2 linked regions of the Saccharomyces cerevisiae S288C genome follow. Changing the gene in region 2 together with the main gene of any one other region gives a genetic interaction. Each region holds a gene or a part of one and is shown on either strand. Other genes may lie near its edges.

The links. A genetic interaction does not mean that the proteins touch.
Region 1: mutations in ESC1 (region 2) and APQ12 together harm fitness more than expected from each alone (negative genetic interaction), as found in Saccharomyces cerevisiae (5 studies listed by BioGRID).

The regions. Positions count from the first base shown.
Region 1 is NC_001141.2:275,723-278,798, reverse strand, and holds APQ12 (Apq12p), read right to left. Parts: upstream 1,077-3,076; coding exon 660-1,076; downstream 1-659. Other genes in the region: TED1 (Ted1p), read right to left, coding at 1-373; GVP36 (Gvp36p), read right to left, coding at 1,294-2,274; protein kinase PKP1, read left to right, coding at 2,507-3,076. UniProt on the Saccharomyces cerevisiae protein: Involved in the regulation of lipid homeostasis in the endoplasmic reticulum, thereby impacting nuclear pore complex biogenesis and localization, and nucleocytoplasmic mRNA transport.
Region 2 is NC_001145.3:705,223-708,981, forward strand, and holds the start of ESC1 (Esc1p), read left to right. Parts: upstream 1-1,910; coding exon 1,911-3,759. Other genes in the region: transport protein particle complex II subunit TRS130, read right to left, coding at 1-1,665. UniProt on the Saccharomyces cerevisiae protein: Involved in the clustering of telomeres at the nuclear periphery, forming discrete subcompartments that accumulate a complex of histone-binding silencing factors like SIR4. Required for SIR4-mediated anchoring and partitioning of plasmids.

The sequences.
Region 1 (3,076 bases), on a different chromosome or scaffold from region 2:
GCTTCAGTCTCTGCTGCATCATATCATAGATGTGACCAAGATAGTAGTCATTACCGTATGTATCTAATCGGGACACATATGGCGTCTTTGGCCAGATGCCTTTAATCTGAGGATCACCGAAGGCCAAAATATGAATATCCTCATCGTTACCTGCAGAGGCATGGCTACCATGCCATTGCTCTCGAACATCACTGAAGTAATTCTTCACTTTGTCCACAAAAGTCAAATCTTTCTGTAGTGGTGCGTTCTTGTTAGAGCAGTTCCATGAACACTGTTCTGGATGGAAAGATGGATAAGTATAGATGTAAATATTAGCGACGATAGTGAGGAAGGTGGCAAAATATGCAAACTTCTTGACCGCACACCTGAGCATCTTGGGATTCTTGGTACAATGCTGCTGCTGTTGTTTTCAGTTCTTCAATCGCGACCGGATAAATCGCTTGTAATAACTTAGTTTGCAATTTTTCTTAAAACTTCAGAAATCAAGTCACAATTGTAATGAATAATTTGGAAAACACAAGTCACCAAAAATAGCTCAATATTTGATAGTGACTAGGGGAGGAATCTAGCAAAAAAAACGTTCTTTATCTATATGAATATTTAGAAATTAAGATATGTAATTACTTTAAGATGTTCCGAGTAAGCAGAGGCGTTTCGCTCTATTTAAGCAACTGTTCCATTTTCATCTGCGCCAAATGATAAACAGTGTTGATTTCTCTTTCCAGGGCATTAATAAACAGAGTATAAATTTTAAATGCGTAGTATCTATTTGACATGACGAAATTGTAGAAATTCAACAGGTCCACAGTCAAAAACTGCTGCGAACCACGCATATAAATACCGATACATGTTACTACCAACGTCAAATACAGGAATCTTTTGACCAGAGTAATGAAGTTCATCAACAACTTGTAAAAGACATAAAATGTGAAGAAAATAAACAATAGTTGGAAAACTAACGGGTGTGATTGGCTGAACTTAGTAATAGTAGGAATCAACCATTGGATGACGTCAATGGCAGACTTTAGGCATTGTGTTACTACGGATAGTTCGTATTGCGGTTGAGTAGCGTCCATTTTTGGGTTGCTCACTTTGCCCTTTGGTGACTGTTACGAAATTTTTTTCAGTAGCTTTTTCTCTTCCAGTAATTATATTTTCTCTACAAAAAATATACTCACTACAAAAGCCAGCAAATAAATGATAATATTCGTACGACACTAGAGAATATGATATTGTATTAAGTAAATATATATATATAGAGAAGGAGAGAGAAAGACAAGAACAGGGCGGCTATTAAGCGTCGTCTTCGTCATTCATAGAGATAGCTGTCTGTGGCTTTTCTTCTTCTGCAACCTCAGGCTTTGCTTCCGGCTCTTCCGCAAATGAGTTGGATAGGAACTCTTTCATTAGGCCAGCCGAGGTTTCAAAATACTCAGCTTGAGCCTTGGCCAATTCCTTCAAATCTTCACTGAAGTTAGCGTGAGAAATAACCTCCTGCAAGCACACAGTAGCGTCTTCAGTGACTTGAGCAAACTGGTCTTCCAAAGTCTCCATTTGGACTCTCAAGGAAGCTTCCTTTTCTGGCTTCTTGTTGTTTGCCAAGTTAGTTCTTGCCACGTCATATCTTAATCTCATGGAATGGACATCCTTGCGGCACTTATCGGCCTTACCGATCTCAAAAGAGAGCCTTTCCCTCAAATTTTTATTGAATTTGGTTTGAATCAAGGTATCTTGTTGAATTCTAGCTTGAGCAATCTTAGCCTGCACATCACTGAATTGCAAGAGTGCCGAAGCCAAGGGTTGTTCCTCGGTGGGGAACATCTTGTTCAAACATTCACTGGAGTTCAAAGCCACTTTACTGAGGGCGTAGTTCAACGTCTTGGGTTCTTTGATGGGGCCTGGAGCAACTAAGATGTTTTGTGCCTCAGACGCAGATGTAGCATGAGTCAACTCTGTCAACTTGGAAGCCACGCTTCTTGAAAACTCGTTGACGGATTCGTTGATGTATTTAGGGTAATCGTACGATCCGTTTTCGTAGATAGCAGTTACACCCAAGAAGTGGTTGTAAATCAGTTTGATGGTGTCAACCTTATCTTCCAGCTCTGTGTACTCTCTTGGCAATTGGGAGATGTCCGTCACCTGGCCCAAACGTTCCTGGACCATTCTTTGGGTGGATTGCGCCAAACTGGGCAATTCCTGGGTTTTTTCGGAAACACTTGTGGATATTTCCTGTAATTTCTTGCTCAAAGAGCTGGCGAAGGCATTAAACGACATTGATGACTATGATTTGTTGCTTATTCCACTCCTCTGCCTACAAATCATATAGGTTATAGGTGAAGAAGGTTGCAATTTTCTTGTTTTTGACATCCCGATTAATCCACCGCTCGCTTCTCACGGTAATAAGGGAAAATGTCTGCCAGTATGAAGCAAACAACATTAAACTGAGAACATTGGTGAGTCAAGACCATAACTGGAAGACGTGGTATCAAGACGCCTTCACGGTAGTATGTGGAAGATTATGCGTTCATGGAAATGTGGGGGAATGCGCTGGGCACATCGCCAGCGACCCTCACACGAGCTGCTGTCGCAACTGTCGTTCGACCAGCATTACAAGATTAGGTCGAACATTGAGCTGCTGATACAGGACTACGCTAGTAAACCAATTGCGCCCCTAAACTACGAGTATTTCCTGCAATACAGGCCGCCGCTGACCAAGAAGGAGGAGTACATGCTGACGATCAAGACAATCAACCTGTTGCTTTCATTGACGTGTAAACGGCTTAATGCCATTCAGAGGCTACCGTATAATGCGGTAATCAACCCTCATATTGAGAGAACCAACTCTTTGTATTTGAAAAGCTTGCAAACGTTGCTATCAATCGCATACCCGTACGAGTTGCACAATCCTCCCAAGATACAGGCCAAGTTCACAGAACTGCTGGACGACCACGAGGACGCCATTGTGGTATTGGCAAAAGGTCTTCAGGAAATCCAATCGTGTTACCCAAAGTTTCAAATTTCGCAGTTCTTGAACTTCCACCTGAAGGAGAGAATCACGATGAAGCTGCTTGTGACG
Region 2 (3,759 bases):
TGCCAGATGAACTTTAGAATTCAAAGTTACTTCGAATAGCCCATCTAAAGGATACATTAGATGAATGTTATTTTTCATTTGTAAATCCATGAACTTTTTCCACCAAATTTCCTTGCTATCGTTATCTTTGCATAACTTAAGTATATTGAGAAATGCATTAGTTAAAACGGCCGATGCAGAAACTGATTCCCCATCAATCTGTAAGACGTCTAATTTGGGGCAGTGGCTCAAGGAATCAATGAAAACTTGCAATATTTTCAAACCAATGCTATTCCAGTTCGTTTGAGTATAATATTCGTAACAGGAAAGGAAAAGCGAGACTGCCTCCTCATATTTCTTTCCCTGATAGTAAAGCAAACCTATCTCAATGGATAAAATATCTACTATCCTTTGACGCTTCCCTTCACATTTGTTGAAGAGAGAAAGAATTTCTTTGGTGAGAGTAAGGAAGTTTTCTTGGAAGACAGTTTCATCGACAAAAGTTTCTTTTAATAGATCAAATTTGTATTTAACGTCACTATTAGGGTAGTTTTTGTCCATTAGTCTATAACCACTTGTAGCCATAACACCTTGCACCCAGTTGTCGCGCTTCAACATTAATAACTCAGCTTTGATTTCACACAAGAGAGGATTTGAGACATTCTCAAATTCAAAATATGACAGCATCGAAGTTATAAAATAGTGCTTAAATTCCAATAATCTCACAGACTTTCTATACTCTATTGATATGGATTCAATAAAATTCTTGATTAGTTGAAATGCTCCTACAAAGGCGGTCAACGTCTGGTCCTCTAGTTTTAGAAGTCTTAACCTTCTAATGAAAAAATACTTATGCAATTGAAACTTATCGAGTGTACCTTCTATTATTATGGAGCCCAGTGATTCATCTGATTTAGAAGATGATTCAAAAGGTACCTGAAGTTTTCCATCCGGCATATTCATGTTTCTACGGAGTATTTCTTTTTTGATTTTTTGCAATTCCAGGCTGGCATCTTCCAAAATATTGAATACCACATATAACTCGTACAATTTTTCTCTTGTCAAAAGCTGTTCCTCAAAGTTATTTCCTTTTTGTAAATTGGCCAACGAATGTTGCAAATGTGTCAATCGTTTTTGAAAGATGCTCAGTACGGAAGCCTTAATCTTTTGGCTAAATTGGTTCCAAAACTCCTGCCTTTCTTTGGGAGATCTATAAACCGATCGAACTTCCAAAGTTTGTACATGCGGAAAGTCTTTGCCAAATTTCTCCATTAGGGATACCGATTTGAATAGGTTAGAGTCCACTACTTCAGAATTGGCATACAGTAAAATAATTGGTTTATAAATCATTTTTTCTCCTGTCGATGAAGATACAGATTCCAGATTTGGTAGCCACTGTCTCACAAGAGGCCGTACTTTGGCCCTGTATTGGTCGATAGAGATACAGTTCACTATCAAAAATCTGATAAACGGCTGTTCATCATTAGACTTGTCTGCCTCCCCTCTACCTTCTGGAATCAATTCAATTGGAAGCCTGTTAACCGTTCGTACAGTTCCGTCAAATGCCTTCCAATGTATATTGTCTAACGGTAAAATCTGCTGAAACTCTGGCCTCAGACTCTCAAATAAATCAAACGGGTCAAAATAGCTGACAGGAACCGATCCACAATATATTTCTTTATCCATCTACTATATTAGCATGTAAAAGCAAGTTCACTGGCTATTTTTATTGCTTTTATGCTCACTTTCTTTCAAAACTTCTAACTTGCACTTTTCACCATTTTCATGTTCCGCGAGCTGTTCTTAAGAAGTGAAAACAAAGGAATTTAAAATGCGAGAAAGTCTTTAGTCCTATTGACAAGTATATTGAACACGTTGTAAATTCACCAAGGGGTTAAGTACAAGAACCAATAAATCTATACTGTGAAAATATGTCAAAAAAAAAAGAAACCTTTACTCCAAGGGCAAATAAACTTAAACTGACGACCCCAAGAAGAAAACTGAAAATACTGTCATCTCTCCTTGACGCGGACGAGGATTCCAAAATGAAAGATCAACATGGGTACTCAAGGGTCCACAATGATAAATACAGAGTAGCAAAGCCTACTCAGCACTCGACTTTACATGAATCTATTTCCTCCAGGCGAAGCAGTCATATTCATAATAAATCCCTTCATGAAGATAGTGCGAGGGCATTAAGCTGGGTAGATTCTCTAATTAATAGGGGGAAAAGTATACTTACTACACTAGAAAAGGAAGATGCCTTGTTTGAGCGTAGTCTTGAGGAGGAAAGACAACGTTTTCAGCTTCATGACTCTTTAATGAACAAGTACACAGGAAACAGTAAATCTCATCAGCGACTAATCGATCTCAGGAAGAGCCAATACGGAACGGATACTTCTTTCCAAAATAATGATGAAATTCCCTTAGATAGTTTCATAAGTTCTCCCTTACCGGACGCTGAGGACGAGTCGTCCTCAAATATCGACTCCGATAAGGATGAAGATCTGGAAGGTAAACAATCTTTAATCAAAGATTTCGATCTTGAAAATGATGAATACGAGCTCTCTGAAGAAGAAAAGAATAGTGACGGCCAAAGTAGTCCTTCAATAATGATATTATCAGATGAAGAATATGCAGAGGAAGGAGCACTACAAGATGTATCGAATGATGAATATGCCGAAGAGGAGGGGCAAGTTGAGAGAAAGAATATAGGGCAAGAACAGGCAAATGTAGAGAATGCTACACAAATTAGTTCTTCTGATTCCAGTGAAGGACAGAATTATTCAGAGGGAGTAGAAATGGAATTAGAAGACGACATTGATGTGGAAAGCGATGCTGAAAAAGATGAAAGTCAGGGTGCAGAAGGAACAGAACATTCGGTAGATTTTTCAAAATACATGCAGCCTAGAACAGATAATACTAAGATCCCCGTTATCGAAAAATATGAATCTGATGAGCACAAAGTCCATCAAAGATATTCAGAAGACGGTGCATTTGATTTCGGTTCAGTAAATATTTCAGTTGACGATGAGTCCGAGGATGAAGAAAGTCAAGCTGAAAGTTACTCAGCAAATGCTGAAAATGTGTACCACCATAATGAACATGAACTGGATGATAAGGAACTAATAGAAGATATAGAATCTTCAGATAGTGAATCCCAAAGTGCACAAGAAAGCGAACAAGGAAGTGAAGATGATTTTGAATATAAAATGAAAAACGAAAAAAGCACGTCAGAAGAAACTGAGAATACCAGCGAAAGCAGAGACCAAGGTTTCGCTAAAGATGCTTATACTAAGAACAAAGTGGAACAACAGGAAAATGACGAAGAACCTGAAAAAGATGACATTATCAGAAGCTCTCTAGACAAAAATTTTCACGGAAACAACAACAAAAGTGAATACTCGGAAAATGTTTTGGAGAATGAAACTGATCCTGCTATAGTAGAAAGAGAAAATCAAATTAACGATGTTGAAGGTTATGACGTAACAGGAAAAAGTGTCGAAAGTGATTTGCACGAGCATTCCCCTGATAATTTGTATGATCTCGCCGCAAGGGCTATGCTTCAATTCCAACAAAGTAGAAATTCGAACTGCCCTCAAAAAGAGGAGCAGGTATCCGAATCTTATTTAGGGCACTCAAATGGAAGCAACTTATCGGGCAGGTCTTTAGACGAATCCGAAGAGCAAATACCCCTAAAGGACTTCACAGGTGAAAACAATAATAATTTAAAAACAGACCGAGGTGATCTTTCATCTTCTGTTGAAATAGAGGTTGAAA